Linked DNA regions of Lytechinus pictus. Each later gene encodes a partner of the first gene's protein in a complex. Links are inferred from orthologs where the notes say so. Each region holds a gene or a part of one and is shown on either strand. Other genes may lie near its edges. The genes, in order: F-box and leucine-rich repeat protein 13-like, dynein regulatory complex protein 8-like and dynein regulatory complex subunit 3-like.

Region 1 (7,254 bases):
TTGACTGTGGTCTTATAATCTCCGCAAAGACGAACACCTCCATCGGCTTTCGGCACCACTACGATCGGAGTTGCCCAGTCGCTGTAGTCTGTCTTTACGATGACTTTGTTTTTCTCAAGGTTTCTTAACTCTTTCTCAACTTCTTCTTTCAGTGCGTACGGTACTGGTCGCGGTCTACAGTAGACTGGAGTTGAATTCTCCTTGATTCTTACATGCGCTTCCACACCAGAAATCCCTTCATAGCTGTCTTCAAACATTCCGCTATACTGTCGGAGTAGACTCTGCAATTTTGAAGACTCAACATGGAACACGTTATTCCAATCTAACTTCAACTTAGTCAGCCAGTTCTTACCCATCAGTGTAGGACGATTCGTGTAGCTTGTTACCATCATGGGCAACAACAATTTATTCCCTTCATAGGTGACTTCACATTCAAATTCACCACACAAGTCCAACTGCTGACCAGAATATGTTCTGAGTTCTAATGAATTTGGTCTCAAAGGTACATCACTGAAGTTTCTCTCATATGTGTCCTTACTCATAATAGAACAATCTGCCTGGGTGTCAATCCTCATAGTCAAGGATTTCTTGTTGATTACAACTTCTGTTTCAAACTTATTGATCGAATCTGTAGCATACACACAATACAAATTCGAATTATGTTGCATAGATTTCTCTAGATCATCAGTTTCATCCAACGCATGAACTTCAGCATTACCGCCAGTTCGACGCGATTTACCTTTACTCGGTACACTAGTCTTTCCTCTATTTGACTTACAAGCTTTAGCTATATGTCCCTTCATCTCGCACTTGAAACATTGTGAACCTTTAATTGGACATTCTTGAGGTGGATGATTTCTGGAATTACAGCGATAACAGTTTCCATGCTTTTTACTTTCAGCATTAGAGGGTTTGGGTTTACCTCCACGACTAGTTGGTTTAGCTTTACGGGTGTAACTTTTCTGACTATTCACACTTCCAGCATTATGAACAGAACGAAGTTCACGAGCATTTATTGATGCCATCTCCATCGACAACGCAATTTGGCAGGCTTTATCAAAATCTAAATCTTGAGTATTCAACAGTTTGTTCTGAATTTGTTCATCAGCCAACCCGCAAACAAATCTGTCTCGCAAAGCTCTATTCAAGAAAGATCCATAATTACAATGTAAGGATAAATTCTTTAAGGCAATGATGAACTCACCAACTGTTTCACCTTGTTTCTGATTTCTTGTTCCAAACTTGTAACTTTCAGCTATCTCTAACGGCTTAGGATCGAAATGATTCTTCAACTTATCGATGATGTCGTCAAATGTTGCATCTTTCGGCTTGCTAGGCGCTAACAAATTTGCGAGGGTTACGTAGATTTCTGTTCCAATTTCAGTTAGTAAAATTGCCTTTTTCCGTTCCTTCACGAATTCAGCATTCTGGGAAGTTTCAACGATGTTATTGGCCATGAAAAACAGTTCCATACGTTCGACATATGAAGTAAAAGGTTCGCGAGCCTTCTCAAAGCTCCCTAGCCGTCCGATATAGCCACTGGGCGTCGCCATGTTGTATCACGCATTGACTGAATACACGTGCGAATACCATGTGCGAATACACGAAGACTTCCTTCCTAGTTCCATCAACTGTACGACGGTAACTTTAAAGTTGAATTAAGAAGACGATTCCAAATATTGAGATATTTACATTAATAGCAACCTTACAACCCCCCAAACACTAATAGGTGATTCGACCCCCCATTTTCTTTTTTCAAAATAGTGAATTTGAACGATTTATCCCTACCCATTTTCCCTGAGTTCGCTCCTGCAATGCCTACCGAGACGGGTGTTCTTTGAGTGTGACGTCACCGGGGGGTAAAGCAGTGCCGTTTTGTGTACTATGCACGTACTCCTTCATATGGAATAACTGCAGTTGAAGTTGTATCTGCGAGCCATAGAACTTGCAAAGAGGAAATGATTAAAATATTTGTGGCCGTACTATTATTCCAAATATGTGAATTCCCTCAGAATGATACCATAGACCCTAAAGGAATAATTTCAAGGTGAATAATATGAAATTTGATCGAGATCTTCTCACCAGTCGATAACGTAGCAGACGTGTTATTATGACATATTTATCCGCGTGTGACGCGGCTCTTGAAAAAAAAAACACAGTTGGTTGCGGAATTGCTTTGTGCCGACCGGCCGCCCGCTCCGGCGCAGCTAGCTGTCGAGCGACCGCACCGTTCTTGTTGTCTTCAACCATAGAGATGTATACTAATTACTATATATATCTTTCTGTCTTCAACTCACTTGCGAATTGCGTTTGTATGTGTGACGGTGACCCCTAGCGTAATTAAATATAGAAAACAACCCAGAAGGCCGAGAAAGAATACTATACGTTTGGTTCAAGATTGTTCTGTGGAATGAGCTATGAGTGGAAATGATCCAGAGGATATAAAAGTGGAGTCAATTAAAGACAAAAGAAAAGAAGAAAAAACGCCAGGGGATCGCTGCACGGCCATGAACTAAGTCGACATACCAGACCATAACAGTACACTCAATGCCTAGCTGGGTGTTGTGTGTACTAGTATTATGCGTTCAGCGCGCGCTGAGCTCGCCGCCGGAATTACTTTCCAGCTACTCACTTGATTGAACATCGTGATAAAATAAATGAGAAATAATGAAAATATCATTCAATAACTCACTGTTTGCTATCTTACATCATGATTGAAGAGTTCATGGTGGTTATTCATACTGTTTTTTATACAGGGAAAGTAAAGATTTGTACATATCAGTCATATTTGTTTGATTTGAGTTGCTTTGAAAAAAATTTGTAAAATATCTTTCTCTCTCTGCATAGCATTTCTGTATGACATTCAGGCACCTCTTATACTAAATTCCCCCCGGTGACGTCACACTCCGAGTGACTTTTCTGTACACTCGTCTCTCGGGCTCTGACAGGTGGCTAATTTCATAGACTTTCAAAGCAAAATATCGAGAAGGCAGAGGATTTTTGTGACATGCTATCTGTTTGAACAACTTATATATACTATATATTGTATGTAGAACCTATATTTATGGAAACTCACCCCCTTCTTAATTCAACTTTAACCAGAAAATGTCACTTTATGACCTCAAAATTAGGATCAAACTTTCGTCTCACAGATTAGCAGTCCCTTGACCAGCAAAATGAAGACTTTAAGGCTTTCGTAGACTCTTTTCTGAGCATCCTCGTTGCCAATTTGTAACATACTCAGAAGAACAGCTTCCTATATGTTTTTTTTAACTACAAATATTGATGTAAATGAAGTCAACAAAGAGATCCTAAGTTACTACAAGTACTGTACAAAAGGGAAATGCCAGAGTATAAGTAGTATTCAAAGTTTGGTGCCTTTGTTAAAGTTAAGGTGCCAGGTGCCCTATTACCGTGCGGAAACGACTACGGGTATATAATCAAGCATAGGATTCTTACTAAGTACCTGTACCCCAACAAACTATATATTTTTGGAAAGCTTATGAGCTGATCTACACAAAAATTTGCACTGTGGCATATTAGCTTTATGCATAAGCAAAATATGGTCATTCAAAGTCATGACTTTAAAAATCATGATTTTTCTCTATATGAACTTTCTATGGTTATAACTTCACAACATAGAGTGTAATTTAAGTTTTGATGGATTAATTTAATTCTCTGACTTCTTTGTGATGAATTTATGATGGCTTTAAGAAATATTCAGAGTAGAATTGTAAAAATTATGGATTAAACAAGCAGTCAGATAATGAGAAATTCAGAAAGGACTTTTATACACAACTCCACCTGTGGGGGTACCATGCACAAAAACTATCATTATTTTGTTGTACTCTTCAAGATACACAATTCTACAAAATTTCATGCAAATCCAATGATTAGAACTCGAGTTATTACATTTTTCATTAAAAAAACCTCAATTTTGTATAATATCACGATAAAGAAAGGGCTATAATACTAATAATAACGGACATTTGTAACGCGCCAAGTCTGTCACATAGTGTATGTAACTTGTAGTCGCTGCCATATTGTGCAATACAGTAGCTCTCCCTATTTGGCCAACAGAGGGTGGTAGTCCACTTTGCTACATGGAATATCTGGGGCTTCAGCCAAAAAAAATCTGGGGATTTTCTGATTTTTTTTAAGGCAGTATCAAAGGTTTTGGGGACAGATTTAATCACTTCCGGTGTGTAAAATACTACTTCCGGTTTGAGAATTTTATGAAAATATGTTTTAACCCCCCTCTTATTAAAAAAAGAGGTAGAATATTGAGATAAAACAAGTTGCATGATGAAGTACACACATGAAACTAGCAAAGGAGACCAAAAAAATAAAATCATTAAAAAAAAAAAAAATTAGGGCACCTGTCACCTTAAATTTATTTTGTAAGTTCATTACTTTCCCTCTTTTAATTTTTTCCTCACAGGTTGACCTGTCAAAGACAAAGAACATGTAAGTGTGTTTGTTTGTTTGTTTCTTTGTTTTTTGTTTATTGTTTGTTTATCACAGCTTCAAAGCCTTTACACAATTCTGGTGAGCAAGGGTATAATAATAATAATAATAATGATAATCTTCCAAAGGTAAACTAAGTGATAGAATAGAGTCCAACAGCTAAAATTAACTCTCAATTGTTCTGTAAGTAGATTAAATGCTCAAACTTAAAAACTGATTTTCTCAAAAAGTTTTTTACGGGGGCGAATTTGCAGATGGACTCTTTTGCCAGGCTGGAGCCGAGCTATAGAAGCTCAATGGTGTGTAAACATATATTATTTGCCAAATGTTGGGATTCTGTTTTCCTGTCTTCTTTAAAGATTTTGTTTCTATTTAAATTCAATGTTCTCCCTTGGCAGTGTGACTGACAATGTAGTGACAAGTCTCCTTCAGCATTACAGGCCCTATGTTGTTCATCTCAACATCAAAGGATGCAAAATGCTCACCAAACCAAGCTTCAAAGCCATTGGTAAGCATTTACTATCGTACAACGCCTACTTAGCTTGTTGTACGCGAGCAAATGGGAGGCTGAATGTCAAACATTCTTACAGTTGCACACATGACGTACCATCCAAAATGTACCGTTGCACGGCTTTAGGAGTTGACGTCACAATACGATTTAATTCATTGCGCTCAGTAAAAATTAAGGTGCAATACACGTATAGCCTGCTGGCTAAATGCGCAATGCTGCCCAAGGTCACGTGCGCTTGTGGGATTTTGCTTTTCGCTTTTTAATAATTTTGCTCCCTTTTCATTCTGAGGCTTTAAACAACACAAATAGCGAATATTCGTATTCGTGCAATGGTGCGAGATTTCGCATTCGGTGAAAGAAAGAGACGCTCTATTCAACTCAGGCTAATGCCTCGTTGAATAGAGGATCTTTCTTTCACCTCATGTGAAATTTCGCACCATTGCACTCATGCCTATTCGCTATTTGTATATTAATAGCTGGATTCTTACCACTAACAGCATGGTTACCCTGGGTAGCCACTACAATTCTGAAAACTGTTCTCCCAGCGGGCCCTGCTATTATTATTGCCCCGGCCTTAGCTGGGCTGTCTAGGCACTCAAGCATTTGAGGAAGCTCTTCCTAATGGGTACCCATTCACCTCATTTGGGTTGAGTGCAGCACATTGTGGGTAAATTTCTTGCTGAAGGAAACATGACATGGCTTGTAATCGAACCCACATCCCTCAGATTGAAACATAAAGAGTCAAAACCACTAGAGGATACAAAGCGCAACTTAAAAAATAATCAAATAACAAAAATCTTTGTATGAGTTGTATAATTTATAACTAATTGTATAATAACTCACTATCATTCTGTAACTATTCAACAAAAATATTTGTTTTTGTTGTACACTGTATAATTTGTATGATGTTTCTTTTTCTGTTTACACTACTATACTACAATTTTATTTATTAATAAAAAATGTATATGTTTGTGTCCTGAGAAGCTTGAAGACTCTGGAATACATTTTGCAATGCCCTTCCCCATTTCCTATTGATATCAAGTATGTATTCTCTTTTTGCAGGTCAATGTCGTAACTTGCAGGATTTAAACTTATCAGAATGTCCAGGACTGAATGATGATACTATGAAGTATGTAGCCGAAGGTTGTTCTGTCTTACTTTATCTCAATGTCTCCTTCACCAACATCACAGATGCTACACTGAGATTATTAGCCAGGTAAATGTGTTCTTTATTTGTCATAGGTAAATAGGTAAATACATCTACATGTATATGTGTATAATTCATGCCTTGATTTATTTCTGTCTTGATATTTGCAAGACTACTCGCTTTAATGCAATGTTTGCCCCCTTTTGAGCATTCAAGGAATTCCTTCCTCCCAGGTACTGATTTTCTACACCTGGGTGGAGAGTTGAAAATGTAAATAAAAAGCCTTAACCAAAGGACATGAATGCTTCTAAATTATACATTTTAAAAGGCAAAGGCAGCCATATCTCGTATTGCATAATATTATTTAAAAAATATGTGTAAGCAATCATAATCCTTTGAAACACACAAGACTATGAATGTCAAAACGTGGTTGGGCCCCAAAAGTAGATTTGGTTGCAGGACTAAAATTGTTTCATTCATCAAAAGATTTTAAAGCATTCAGTCAACTGCATTATTTATCTAACTCTGAAAAATGCGTAGTATGTATCAGGTTTGACAATTATATGTGGAACGTTGTGGCACAGTGGATTATTCTCCGGACTTTGAAACAGAGGGTAGAGTGTTCAGTTCCCAGCCATGGCGTAATTACCTTCAGCAAGAAATTGATCCACAATGTGCTGCACTCAACCCAGGTGAGGTAAATGGGCACCTGGCAGGAGTTTTTTCCTTTGGATGCAGTGCACATAACAGCTGCTCTGCTAAAGCCTGGGTTATGCTGCATTTTAACTGTAGAGTGCTTAGAGGCTTCTGATAAAGTAAGTGTTAAGCACGATATTTAATAGCAATTATAATTACTATAATTACGTTTTTACAATGACTTGTTTATATAGGTGCTGCAGCAACCTACAGTACTTGAGCCTTGCATATTGCAAACGTTACAGTGACAAAGGGCTTCAATATCTTGGGACTGGCAAAGGAGGAAGGAGATTAGTCTATCTTGATATGTCAGGGTGTCCTCAGGTATGTTATATATTTTGGGTCTTGGGTCTAAAACCTATTAGAGCTGGGTTATTTTGACCCACATTACAGCCGGGAGGGGGGGGAACAGCTTCCACCTCCAACCCCCCCC
Region 2 (7,299 bases), on another chromosome or scaffold:
AGTGGATTAGTCTTCGGACTTTGAAACAGAGGGTCGTGGGTTCGAATCCCAGCCATGGCGTAATTTCCTTCGGCAAGAAATTCATCCACATTGTGCTGCACTCGACCCAGGTGAGGTGAATGGGTACCCGGCAGGATTTATTCCTTGAACGCTTTATCGCCTATTAATATGGCGGCTTAGTTATCATAATATTATACCAAGTATCAAAGCGCAGTTGAGTATATGCACATAGTAACTGCGCTATATAAATGGACATATTAGTATTATTATTATTATTATTGGACTAAATGGTAATAGACGTAATAAAAATGGACAAAGTGGCTATTGGGCCAATTGGCAAAAATGCAATAGACCAAATGGCTATTAGACCAATCGATAATAGACGAAATGGTTATTAGACCAACTGGCTATTGGACTAAATGGTAAATGGACGAAATGGTAATGGATAGTGGACCAACTGATGGTAGACGAAATGACATTAGACCATTTGGCAGTATATGGCAATAAACCGCCACTGCTGGATGGTAGCGGGGATCGGACGGGGAGGGATGCTGCATGCATATACCATACACAGTAAAAAAAAATAGCACGTTGTTTAAGCCTGTCACTCTAACAACAGGTTGTATAAACTTTTCTGTAATTTACTCTTTAAACAACTTGTTTAAAAAGTTTCAACAGCTGTTTAAAAAGTTTAAACGGTAGTTGTTAGAGTGACAGGCTTAAACAACTTGCTTAAAATTTTAAACAGCGTTTTTACAGTGTATACAGCACCTCCCAGACCGGGTTGACAAATAGGCAAAACAAATATTAATAATAATAATAAATGGTTATTACTCCCCAAAATAATGAGGGAGATTTGTAAACAATAACCCCCCCCTTTTTTGTTGGGGGGGGTGGCTTGTCGGAATTCTTTCTGACGACAAAACTCCAGCAATTGTACCCCAGTGACTGGTCGCCATTAATTTCCAACAAACAACAACCCAGTATTAAAAAATCTTTCACAGGGCCCTGAACGGCGTACACACCTGTTCTGATTTGTTCATTTTTTGTTTTTTTTTTCATATGATTTGGGGTAAAGTTTTTTTTTCGATTAAGGAAAAAGTGAAACGAACATTGATTTGGTAGTTGACAGTCATAATTTAGGTGCCAACCGAGATACAAATTAAACCAATTATCATAATACACAACAGCTGTGTATAATAGCTGCATGTATACACTTGATTGGGGGTTTGTGCATGTCTTGCAGGGACGGATCCAGCCTTTGCCAATAGGGAGGGGGGCGGACATTTTCTCAGCCATATTTTCCCCGATCGGCCGCTCGAAGATGATTTTTTGTTTATTTGAAGTGGTAGTCCTAATAGTCACTTCTTAGCTTTATTCTTATAAATCAACATAAAAAAAATAATATCATAATCCTTATTTATACAGTGCGTATAAAAAAAAGTTTACACTTAGAAAAAATCCTGTAAAATTATACATTTGTAATATCCTGAAGATTTTTCCACATTTTAACATTGGTACAGATCCATTTAAGCAAATTACGAACTGTCGAAAAATATTTCCGCTTGAGTGAGCACCACTTACTTTTGAAAAGTTAGTGAAAAATGATTTGCGCAGAACTTTAAAATTAGTTATGCGAATAAAAGTAGACCTTAATCATGAATAACACATTAAATTTAGCTAGTAAAATTGATTTGAAGATATCTTTTACCTTTTTTAACTTGTTTCCTTGCCCAAAACACTTTGAAGAGTGCATTGCGCCCCAACCTAATCCCCCACACACCCTTAAGGCCATCGTGACGATATTTGCTTTACACTGAGCTGTGATTTACTTGAAATGGCGTAGGCTTGAATTTCATTTTGTTAATCATTGTAAAGCTTGCAAAAAGTGTGGAGAAACAAGTATTAAATGAAAAATGAAATGTAAACCCACTTTAAATGATAAAAACTTAGTGAAAAAATGCTGGAGATGTCTGATATAAACTTTTGTTCAGATTCAGTTATTTCCTCAGATCCAGCTGGCACAAAAAGGGTAAAGGTTGTGCTTACTAAGTGTTGAAATTTCAATTTGGGTGGCAAAATTGTTACAAAATGCTTAAATGTATCCCTTTTATTTCAATTACTAAAAGTGCAAGGGAAATGTATGAGAAATATTTCGCAGGTTAAGTTTGATTTCGCCCTTTCCCCTTGACACAGCGTGAAAATGAGCATGTCTGCGCAAACAGATTTCTGCGAGCTTTACACAAATGGACAGTGTTCACTCAAGTGTAACATTCTGTCAAAATGTTTACTTTCATTGGATAGATGAGACCCAAACCCAAGAATATTTGTGAAAAAAATACCCACATGTTGTATATTTTTTTAATTCCCAGGGCTTTTTCAAAGTGTAAACTTTTTTTTGATACGCACTGCAATGCGAGCGCGAGCTAATTTTTATTTCATTTTATGTATTTTGTGACAAAATTTGAACATTCTGGGCAATAGTGAATAAAGAAGCTTTAATCGGAGGTAATAATAATTTGTAAACAAATTTTCGGCATTTTAGCTCCCATGTGTTCAAGATCGCATGCTCGATCTGTAATGAAAATCATAAGTCAGAAAAAATTGGAACCAGTGCATGGGATTCGAACCTGTCATCTACTGCTTGCCGGGCAGCGACTCAACCACCAGGCTATTCTGGTTCACGGCTAAGTAACGATGAACTGGAATTAAAATACCCTCTATCCTCTTCTTCTGACTCATTAATATTTTTTAATTATTTATTTTCTGACTCATTAATATGCAAATGCATTTACTATCTATTGTCCCCGGCGGACGGCATTTGCATATTAATGAGTCAGAAAAAAGAGGACAGAGGGTATTTGTATTCCAGTTCATTAACAATCAAAATAATGCGAGCGCGAAGCGTGAGCTATACCTAAAGAACGGAAATTCTAAGCACTTTTTGTAATTTAAACAGTGAAGATTATTGATGCAAGCGCGAAGCGCGAACGGAAAATTTCGAGATTAGACCTAAAAACGAGACACTCTATTCATGTTTTGTAAATCATGAAAAGGATGAGTATATAATTGGGGATCTTACCTTAAAGGGATGGTCCGGGCTGAAAGTATTTATACCTTAATTAATAAAATATAAGTCACTGAGCAAAATGCCGAAAATTTCATCAAAATCGGATAAAAAAAAACAAAGTTATTAAATTTTAAAGTTAAGCAATATTTTGTGAAAACAATCGTCATGAATATTCATTATGTGGGCTGATGATGTCAAATCCCCACTTGTTCTTTTGTATTTTATTATATGAAATTAGGTTTATTCAATTTTTTTTCCTCCAAGAACTAGAAAAATTGGATTGACAACTGATTTAGTGCATTAGATATTTATTGCTACAACTTATTTCATTATAAGGGAGATATATTATTCACACAAGTATGAAATAATGAAAAAATATTATTTTATGTATATAACATAAGAAAACGGAAAGTGGAGATGTGACATCATCAGCCCAGCTAATGAATATTCATGACGACTGTTTTCACAAAATTGCTAAACTTTAAAATTCAATAACTTAATTATTTGTTATCCGACTTTGATGAAATTTTCGGCATTTTGCTCAGAGAATTCTACTCTCTGTATTAAGATATAAATATTTTCAGCCCGGACCATCCCTTTAAGAAAATTGATCATTATTCTGTTATATTTTCATTCCAAATTATTCCGATCTATGGCTGTTGGACCATACGAAGTGAATTCTACTCATAGAGATATATACTACATCTCTATGATTCTACTCTATGTATTAACATATAAATATTTTCAGCACGGACCATCCCTTTAATAATTTGAGCGCAAAGCGCGAGCATAAAATGTTTATATATGTTTTGAACTGATATTGAAAAGGTAAAGAATGGAAAATTTTAATCGATTTTTTTAATGGTGAACAAGATAGCTATGTAACTGAACATTGATGCGAGCCCCCCCCCCACCCCCTGGATCCGCCTATGTTATAAACATTTTATCTTTCCTTATATTTTTTCTTCTTTACTTTTATATTTTTTACTTACATAGCAAAGCAGAAAGGGAGGTACGCAACTACGCACTGAGAAAACAAATTTCAAAAACAAAAACAAAACAGGACAAAAAAAACCCCAAAACAACACTTTTATTTGCTAGTCTTGTGTGAAAACTCACTGGTTGATCAAAGATTTAATCAGAGTCTGTGCATGCAGACTAGTTTGCCGGTACGGTAGCAACACATGCATATGATGTATATGTAAACAATCTCTCGATCGGCTAGCTCAAAATGGCACAGGCAGAAGAAAAAGAAAGTGCTGGTAAATATCGTTTACTTTTAGCTTGGTCATCTATATTTCTAACATAATGAACTTTGAAAATTATTTTGGGAATTGGTAGAAAGAAAAATGTCGTTACCCACGTATATCTGTAATGAAGTAAATTTAAAAACTTGCAATTGATTTCTCGTCGTGTTTGGAAACTGGCATGGCTCAGCTCAGGAGCGAGCCGCTCTCACGTACCGTACCGCCAACTAGCCCGTACCCCTATACCCAGCCGCGGCTGGCTGTCCGCTAGGCTTCTTACCACTTTACTGCGGCAGCTGGCAGCCCATGGCTAGCCACCGCACCAAGCAAGGCCAAGGGTAGACCAAAAGCTTCGGTCTCTGTTATGTTGGTTGTTCCGCTGAACTCCGTTGGCTCCACTCACCAATTACAGAGACCGAAGTTCTAACTCGATCTGTACAGGGACTCAATCAATGGCCATATTTGGCATAGGCTATATCATATGTTTATGTATTAAATTCGGATATACCAGGTCCAGGAAAGTGAAGTTGCGCGACAGCCGAAGTAAGTCACTGTTTTGTGTCCTTTTAAATTTATTTTCCCCGTTTTGGTGCATTTAAGGCCAAACAGAATAATAATCTTTATTTTGGTCCAGTTCTTTTCATATTTTATGAAATAAAGACAAAAATCGATGAGCACCATCGGGGGGGATTTTGCATTTTTAACCCCCTAATGGCAGCTGCACGATCGCGAGCCGTCTGTGTATGAGGAGAAATTTTAAAAAATGTTTTAAACTCCTCGAAGCAGACAGCTGCCAGCTGTCTATACTGTATACAAATGTATGACTTATATGACGGGTATATGATAGCCTGGAATTTCATTCCATATCATTATATACTTAGATCTTTAAAAAAAGTTTTATATGAAAGAACCAAATTCCGATCCATATGTTTATTTGATCGGACACCTATAAATAAAAATAAATTTTCCTTAAAAATAGCAAAATCCACAAAAATATTTTTTTCCCATATCACTGTTATCAGTTTGTGCACGGTAACTTGGGGTATAGTGCCCCAAAATAGAGCAATGAGAGAAAAATGTGATGACTGGTGCTCCTAAAGTTTAATATTTGAAGAAGTTGATCAAATAGGATTTCAAATTGTTGATTTGTTGAATGAATCAAGATGGGGATACCCCTATATACTGTCATTTATTGGGATTGAGCAAACTTGTACATTTAAATAAAGTTACAGGTAGATTTTCGCTAAGTAATATTTTTAATAACTTTAACACAGAATCACTGCTTGCGGATATTCAGAAGAAAATTACAGATGCATTTGATATCTTCGACCATGAGTCTAATAAGACTGTTGATGTTAGGTGAGTAAATGATTAAATATTGATTGAATCGAATATGATAATTGGGTAATGTTTGTAGCTTGTGGGTGGTATAGTTTCCTGTTTTAGTTTCATATATTTTCTCTTTATGTTGGGCAATCTTTTTGGACTAAATTCTTTCACTAAAGTAAAAAAACCTTTTTTCAAAGTACCATATTTCTCATTGATACATGTATGCTCAGGTGGACCTTGATTTGATGTTTCCTGAAAATTTTGTTTGGCTTTTGGGAATCTTTTTTAAGGTAGGGTAGTTAGTTGTACAAACCAATAAGCTTGGAAAGAGTGGTCTGAATTGGAAGCCTTACAGTCCTGACTGGACTTACGTATCAAAGGCCCGAATTCAGAACTTAGAACTTCTTTGCTTGGCTTTATAATGGCAACCAGTCAGAAATGATTTCTAATAGCTTCTTTTATATTCTTTTAGATTTTTCCCCCTTATTTTTTTTTCCAAGATGTATTTGCAGTGCTAGACTTGTCCCAAGACCCTCTTTTTTATTCAAGATTTATTCAGGGTCTATGCCTGCAGACAGGAGTAATGATACCTTCCTCTTATTTTTACTATTATTGAGTTAGGTTGAACAGTAATAGACAGAAGTATTGGCTGAAAGCGTAGGATATATAATAAAGTTGTGCAACCATAAGTGAAAACAGTTTTTTATTAGAAACTAAGATGTAGAACAGGATACTCATCCTACAATTAATCATGTATGCTAATAATGATATTAATTTTAATTGAGAAACCATATAAATTCACATTCAACTTTCCAAGTTGCTGTAGTTGTCATATTTACACTTGCGATTATCTTAATTACTGCATGTGATGTTGTTAATGTGATTGTTTTTTTTTTTCTTCATGTGTTACAGGGAGATTGGGACCATTATCAGGTCATTAGGTTGCTGTCCTAGTGAAGGTGAACTCCATGATCTTTTGTCTGAGATGGAAGAGGAGGAGCCCACAGGATACATCAAGTATGATCGTTACAAGCCAATCATGCGAGAAGTTCTCATGGAACGCAAGTAAGTTAAATGAGAGTGGAAGTATAGATGAGATGGATGACAATCTGGGTTGCAGGTGCATCAGTGCTCTTTATATCCTAACTTTACTCATCATTAAATCAGAATGTAAATTGTTAACTGACTGACATTCTCCTCCTCTTTCTTACTTATTGTCACTATCTAAACAATTGTATTAATGTCATCATCAAGATCATCAGGTCAGGTGTATCTTGCTATAATCTGAATACATTTATCATTTTTACCCCTAACTGCTATATCTTTTGATGGAAATTTTTGTATGACAATGTTTTCTAGCAAAAAGAATCAATGTAAAAGATAAACGTTATAAATTGTTTTGATGATGCTCCTTCTATAGTGTTTAAAAAGTTCAAGTATTAGAGAGAAAGATAACAGATGGGAATGACAGGGGATGTCATCATGTGTTGGGCAGTGTTTCATTTTCATATTTCGTCTTATTTTTATTTTTTGAAAATGTTTCTTTGAAGATTCAAGCCATCCCCTGAGGATCAGCTTGTCAAGGCATTTGAAGTACTAGATGTTGAAAAGAAAGGCCATCTTACAGTTGAAGAGGTGACAAAACTCATGTCT
Region 3 (7,317 bases), on another chromosome or scaffold:
AGGATATTTTGTAAAATTGCAAGTACGGTACTTTTCGAGTAAATTCCAGGAAGTTCCGTTTTGAAAAGTGGAAGCACTGAGCACCACTGATATCTGAATAGTAGGCCTATACAGATCAGTGGGCAGCGCCCAACACTTGGGGGGAGCAACGGATCGCAAGTTTCATTTCATTTCCACAATTCCGAAACGTTAGAAAACGTTGATATAATAACATAACGCTAAATAGGGTACTAAAAATACAAAAAATATTTTAAAAAGAGGAGGAAAAAAAGGACCTCCCATTTTGAAGATGAATTTGATCAGATCTAGTCATTAACTACTCATTTTCGTTTCATGGCGGTGGCCTAATATCTTTTAAGGATACTGCCTTCAATTTAAAGGCTAAACTCAGGGGCTGATCCAGCTCCCGCCAATAGGGGGGGGGGGGCCGAAATTTTTTTCACCCATATTTTCCCCGATCGGCCGCTCAATGTTGATTTTTGTTTGTTTCTTTGAAGGGGTTGTCTCGGTGGCGTAATGAGCCAGTTTTGAGGGGCTTGATACGGCATATTGTGTAAAATTAATGAGAAGTTGCGAGCGAGCGAGCAAAAATTTTGACATTTTGATTACAAAAATCAAAGTTTGTGATAGATTTTTGACATAACATTTGACAAATATAGGCATATATATCACTTATCCCTTTTCTTTTCTCCCCATTTTTCTTGGTCGTGAACAATTGGGGGGGGGGGCAAAACGCCGATATCCTAACAGTCATTTCTTAGCTTTATTTTTATAAAACAACATAAAAATGTAATAATCTCTTCAGCCCTATTTGAATAATACAAGCGCAAAGCGCGAGCTGAAATTTCATGTATTTTGTCCTGAAAATTGAATATTCTGGGCAATGTTTGTGAACCTGAACAAGATGCGTATGTAACTAGATAATTACTGCGATAGCGAAGCCCGAGCAGAAATTTTCAAAATTGGTTCTGGCTTGATCGAAAAAGGACCTGTTAAGACCGATTTGCAGTTAGCCATTAAGACGATACATATTTCAACATTTAGATAATGCGAGAGCGAAGCGCGAGCTGAAAATGTTTTGACATTGCGAGCTATAAAATTGACATTCTAAGCTCTTTTTAAAATAAACGGCATTGGTGAAAAAAAACTAAACAATTGATGCGAGCGCAAAGCGCGAGCGAAAAAAAGATATTTCAGACCTAAAAATGGGACACTCTATTCATTTTTTCTAAATCATGAAAAAAGAAGTTCTTACATTAATAATGCGAGCGCAAACTGGATAATTTTAGCACGTTTTGAATAAAGATCAAGCTGCATATCTCAATAAACATGTGTGCGCCTGTTTTAGAGTTAGACAGAATCTGAGCATTCTGAATACATTTAATTTTTATCATGAAAATTGATAATGTGATCGCGAAGCGCGAGTGGAAAATATTTGATATTCCGATATAAAAAGGGTGAATTTAAATACTATCTAAAGCACTGTGCAGGGAAATTGTGAAGTATATGTGGATAACACTTAATAAATGATGCGAGTGCGGAGCGCTATAGCTGATATTTTTATTATTATTCTGACCTAGGACCTGGACATTCTAAGCCTAAGGACATTTTGTCATCATATGAAAATGATGACTATCTTCATATTCCTCTTCCTAAGCGCGATATGAAACTTGTCGAAATTCCTTTCTGAAACAAGGGACAATTTAGTTATTAGGAATTCATTAAAATTTTATTATCATATTTATTAATATAATAAGCCTAATTAGTGAGTAAAAATTTGTTGATATTAGAGGCCAGAAGACTGAATATTTCAAGCACTTTTGTAAGCATGAATAGGATTTATGAGTTGATATATTTTTAACTACTAATGCGAGCGCAAAGCGCGAGACTATTTTTTTTAAACTGTCGTAAAAGGGGGATTTTGAGTAGTTTGTTATAGAATTGATATATTTATAAAGGATCTTATGGAATACACAAAGACAATATGTAGGCCTACTTGGCAAAGCAAATAATGCGAGCGCACAGCGCAAAAAGCTGCAAATGAAAATTACACCATAAAACAGGCATTTCACAGAGCACTTAAAAAAAAATCAATTTTTAAATAAAAAATAATAATAAAAGCTCGATGTCCGAGCTGAAAAAATGTATTGACTTAAAAAAACTTGATATTTTAGCTACACATCAGCCTATTGAGCAAGATATGTATCACATCGAACACGGGCTATGCGAGCGCGAAGCGCGAGCGAAAATCTTATAAAGTCACATGAAATATATATTTTCAAATTATATTCCAAGTCTTTCCCTGACCTTATTTTATTCACTCGTCTCCCTCCTCTTATTTTTCCTCTTCTTTTGTTCTCCTTTCTTTCCCCTTCTTCTTCTTTCTTTCCCTTTTTCCCCTTTTTTTTGCTCCGCCAATAGGGGGGGGGGGCCTGGATCCGCCTATGAAACGTATTTGTTAATGCGAGCCGTCTGTGAAATAGGGCCTACGTCTATTCGACTGTAATTCCTATCGACTGAAATTTGGGGATTTCTGTGTTGCCTTTTTAAAAATTATTTATTTAGATCTTTTTTTTTTGGCTCTTTACAATGGTTTGTTAGCTTATGGGAGAGAATCGTCTCGTCCCACCGTGCCGTCTCGAAAAATTTTTCAGCCATATTTTCCCCGATCGGCCGCTCGATCGTAGTTGATTATATTTGTGCCTTATAGCCACTTCTTAGCTTTATTCTTATAAATCAACATAAATATATTATACTGTCATATTCCTTGTTTAGATAGTGCGAGCGTGATCGGAGCGCGAGCTAATTTCTTTTAAAATTTCATGTAGCACCCTATTCTGTCCTAAGATTCTGAACAGATGTGTATGCAACTGAATAATTACTGCGAGCGCGAAGCGCGAGCAAAAACTTTAAATATACGTTTTGATCTGATCGAAAAGTGACATCATGCTTGCAGTTAATTAAACATGAAGACGTTACATAATTTCAACAATCAAATAATGCGAGCACAAAGCACGAGCTGAAAATTTTTGACATTTCTACCAAAATTCCAAGCACTTTTTGTAATCGTGAACAGGATAGGTAGGTTTTACATAACCAAAGAATTGATGCGGAAAAATTCGAGATTTAGACCTAAAAACGGGACACTCTATTCATGCTTTGTAAACCATTAAAATGATAAGTAATTGGGGATCTTCCAACATTCATAATGCGAGCGCAAAGCGCGAGCCAAAAATTTTTGATATTCTGATCTTAAACTGGATAATGATTTAAAAAGAGAACAAGCTGTCTATCTGAATAAACATGCGCGCGTGTGTTTCCGATTTACTGGGTATTCTGAATGCATTTTTTTTAGGCAGACTGAAATAAAAAGAAATGTTTCATCGTCTATTTTTATTTTTACATTTTATATATATATATATATATATTTTTTTTTTTTTGGGGGGGGGGTGGTATTTCTCTTCATGCTCAGGGTTCGCGAAGCGGGGGGGGGGGGGCTGGGGGGCTTCAGCCCCCACTTTTTCCAAAACCGTGTACAAAATCGTAAAAATGACCACATGATTGTGATTTTTTGCATGGTCATGCAGCCCCCCCCCCCACTTTGAAAACCGTTCCGCGGCCCCTGATGCTATTCGTACTTCATGCCAGGGGTGGCTAATGGGGCCTTGTGAGACTTCCCCTTGTCCACAACTAAATGACTGTTTCTGGGGTTTTTTTTTTTGGGGGGGGGGGGAATTGTCTGTTTGTTTTCTTGTCAAAAAATTGAAAATTGAAAATATGCCTACATCCAGTATCCAGTCCATTTTTGATACCTCAAGTCAACTTAAAGTGGAAAGTAAAAAAGTCATATTTTAATGATGATAAGCCTACTGTTAATATGACATAATATAATCATATTACAAGTAAAAAGATCAACACAGTAAAATGAATAATATTCAAAACGAAATCAGAAGAATTGATATAGGGAGAGGGGGTTAACTAAAAAGCAGATCGAGCTGCTTGTACTGTGTATGCCCCCTGTAATATTAAAATACATGTATATCATATTAATTTTGTATTAAGAAAACAAACAAAAAAACGACTTAATGAATGAAATACGTAATAAAAATCATTGATAACTATGATAGTCTCAAGTTCTAAAAAGGCAAGCCCCCCCCCCCCCCCAAAAAAAACATTTCGATAGTACAGTATTAGTCGCTATCTGACCGCGTTTTTACATACGACTACGAGCGTGCTCATAATTCCGATCGCACTTATTGGTCGCTCATTTTAATCGCTCCATGACAACAATTGACGCCACATCAAGCAGTCCGTCCGGTCGGATTTAGGCATTATTAATTCTGTAAGTTATGACATTTGAGTTATATTGAATCAATTTTGTAATAATACTCAGTATTATCGAACGGTGAAATATGTTGGATTCCTGAAAGTCTATCACGGTTGAGGTTATTTTCAGTTGATCAATAGATGGAAATATTAAGATTTTAGTTCGGTCCCACGTGCAGAAATTTTTGTAAATGTAAGGCCCACGGCCATATTCTTTCTAGAACAAGATGAATAATTGAATCAATTGGCGGAGCTAAAAAAGGGGAAAGGGAGAAAAAAAAAGGAGAAGAGAGGAGAAAAGAAAAGAAGAGGGGGAAAAAAAAGCAGGAAGGTGATGAGTGATTAAGGTAAGGGGAAGGAATTAAAAAAAAAATTGATGACGATGTCACTGAAATTCAAAGTCAAACGGTCTAAAAAAAATTTTGCTCGCCCTCACATTGCATATTCGATGGAGTACATATCTGCTCAATTAATAGGCTAATATGGAGCTTAAAAAATCAAGCTTTGAAGTCAATAATAATATGCAAAACTTATTTCACTTTTCAGCTCGGACATCGAGCTTTCCTCATAATCACATTTTGTTTGGATTTAGTTTAGGCCTAGGCCTATAGTTAGATCTACAAGTTGATTTTCAAAAAGTGCTCTGTAATGTCTGTTTTCTTGTCTAAGTATCAACACTTACAGCTCGCACTCGTATTTCAGTCGTCAAGTACCTATTCTCTTTGTGTATTCCATAAAGTTCTCAAAATATCTCCTTTACAGGTCTGATTGTCAAGACCTATTAGCTAGCGCTGCTCAGTCGCATTTTGATTGGTGAGTAATGTAACCGGTACCTCTATAGTGTTAATAACAAACTATTTAAAATTCCCTTTTCATGACAGTTTATCAAATAGTTTAGCTCGCGATTTGCGATCGCATTAATTATTAAAAATATATATTAGCCCATGCGTCCTATTCATAATTACAAAGTGCGTAAAAGTCCAGTTTTCAGGCCTTAATTTCAACAAATTTCATTAGGTTTATTACATCAAAAAATAAGATAGAAACATTTTCATGACTTCCTTATAATTAAATTATCCCTTTTTTCAGAAGGGAATATCAGCAAGCATTATTATGCACTTAGGAAGAGGAATTGGTAGACAGTCATCATTTTCCATATGATGACAAAATGTCCTTAGAACGTCCCAGTCCTAGGTCAAAATAATAATAAGTTTAATAAAAATTTTAGCTCGCGCTTTGCGTTCGCACCATTTATTAAGTGCGATGCATATCCACTTCTCAATTTTCCTACTCAGTGCTTGAATTAGAGTTTAATTGACAACTTTTCAGATTGGAATACCAAATATGTTCAGCTCGCGCTTCGCGCTCGCATGATTGATTTTCATGATAAAAAATGTATTTAGGATGCCAAGATTCTAAGTCTAACACTTGCGCACGCATGTTTATTGAGACTCGCGACTTGTTCTTTATTTAAAACATGCTTAAATTACCCAGTGTCAGATCAGAATACCAAAGAATTTCTACTAGCGCTTCACGCTTGCATTATTAATGTAGGAAATACCCAAATTACCCATCCTTATCATGATTTACAAAACATAAAGAGTGTCCCGCTTTTGGGTCTAACTCTCTTTTTTTTTCCGCTCGCGCTTCGCGCTCGCATTGTTTAGTTATATACATATCCTATTCATGATTGCAAAAAGTGCTTAGAATGTCCATTTGTTCAGGTCAGGATGTCAAAAATTTTCAACTCGCTCTTCGTGCTCGCATTATTTGATTGTTGAAATATGTATCGTATTTATGGCTGACTGCAAACATTCCTTAACAGGTCCCTTTTTGATCAGACCAGAAAGTATACTGTACGAAAAATTTCTGCTCGCGCTTCGCGCTAGCAGTAATTATGTAGTTTCATACGCATCTTGTTCAGGATCACATACATTACCAAGAATATTCAATTTTCACGACAAAATACATGTAATTTACCCAAAAAAATAGCCCGCGCTTCGCGCTCGCACTATTTAAATAGAGCTTATGAGATTATTATATATTTATGTTGTTTTATATAGATAAGAAGTGACTACCCCTTCAAAGAACCAAACAAAAATCAATTTTGAGCGGGTGATCGGGAAAAATATGGGTGAAAACAAATTTCAGGCCCCCCCCCCCTATTGGCAAAGGCTAAATCTGCCCCTGGTGACGCATGTCTGCGCACCTAAATATTGACTGTAAAGCGGATTGAAGATTAAACCTGTCTTTCCTTAAAATTACACAAAAAGCTTTATTTCATATTATATTTTTTCTTATATTCTGGTCAAGAAGAAGCTAGTGATATAGTGCAAAAAATAAAACTTGTCCATAGATGATCATGGACTATGGCATGCCAAATTAATTAACTTCATAAAACTGTGATTTTTTTCAGATCTTGATGAAAAGTGTGCAAAAGAGACATCTACCAAATTTCATAGTAATTTATGAATTGGTTTTTGAATAATCATATGACTTTGTCTGCACATCTATTCATTTTGCACAGTAATTGAATTTTTTTTGCCTTCTATTTGCAGATCTCTGTGACCCTGTTAGGTTGATTAATTTTCTGGTGTTGATTGTGAGAAAGTGAATCGTCAATATGAGCCGGCTGTATGACACAGTGGAACCATCCGTAGTGGATGAGATAATGCTTCAGAAAGCTGTAGAGGAGCAAGGTCCTAAAGAAGAAGCAGGAAGAATAGCCAAGGCTGAAGGAATAGACTTTACAGATGTAACACAGCTCAGATTAGACTTCAAAAGTAAGGAAGTGTGTTCTGTGCTTTGAACATTGCCAACTCTATAATAATGTAAATTAATTATCTTATTGTCCCTACTAGACTTAAATAGTAAGGAAACATGTTAAAGGGGTTCTATGCTTTGAACAATGCCAAATCTGTATACTAAATTTGAATAAAAATATAATTTATCACTAGAGAGCAATTACACGAATTGCAAAAAGGAAGAACA

What was found.
Region 2: F-box and leucine-rich repeat protein 13-like (region 1) and dynein regulatory complex protein 8-like share a complex: the UniProt entries of both Homo sapiens proteins name them as parts of the nexin-dynein regulatory complex. The link is inferred for Lytechinus pictus from reciprocal best matches to the Homo sapiens genes FBXL13 and DRC8.
Region 3: F-box and leucine-rich repeat protein 13-like (region 1) and dynein regulatory complex subunit 3-like share a complex: the UniProt entries of both Homo sapiens proteins name them as parts of the nexin-dynein regulatory complex. The link is inferred for Lytechinus pictus from reciprocal best matches to the Homo sapiens genes FBXL13 and DRC3.

The regions. Positions count from the first base shown.
Region 1 is NC_087249.1:13,414,975-13,422,228, forward strand, and holds the start of F-box and leucine-rich repeat protein 13-like, read left to right. Parts: upstream 1-4,216; 5' UTR 4,217-4,318; coding exon 4,319-4,467; intron 4,468-4,865; coding exon 4,866-4,975; intron 4,976-6,040; coding exon 6,041-6,194; intron 6,195-7,015; coding exon 7,016-7,145; intron 7,146-7,254. Other genes in the region: uncharacterized protein K02A2.6-like, read right to left, coding at 1-1,553. UniProt on the Homo sapiens protein: Substrate-recognition component of the SCF (SKP1-CUL1-F-box protein)-type E3 ubiquitin ligase complex.
Region 2 is NC_087251.1:23,721,139-23,728,437, forward strand, and holds the start of dynein regulatory complex protein 8-like, read left to right. Parts: upstream 1-4,221; 5' UTR 4,222-4,301; coding exon 4,302-4,332; intron 4,333-5,591; coding exon 5,592-5,676; intron 5,677-6,558; coding exon 6,559-6,711; intron 6,712-7,196; coding exon 7,197-7,299. UniProt on the Homo sapiens protein: Component of the nexin-dynein regulatory complex (N-DRC), a key regulator of ciliary/flagellar motility which maintains the alignment and integrity of the distal axoneme and regulates microtubule sliding in motile axonemes.
Region 3 is NC_087254.1:18,111,285-18,118,601, forward strand, and holds the start of dynein regulatory complex subunit 3-like, read left to right. Parts: upstream 1-4,252; 5' UTR 4,253-4,342; intron 4,343-5,088; exon of another isoform or gene 5,089-5,139; intron 5,140-6,884; 5' UTR 6,885-6,949; coding exon 6,950-7,109; intron 7,110-7,317. UniProt on the Homo sapiens protein: Component of the nexin-dynein regulatory complex (N-DRC) a key regulator of ciliary/flagellar motility which maintains the alignment and integrity of the distal axoneme and regulates microtubule sliding in motile axonemes.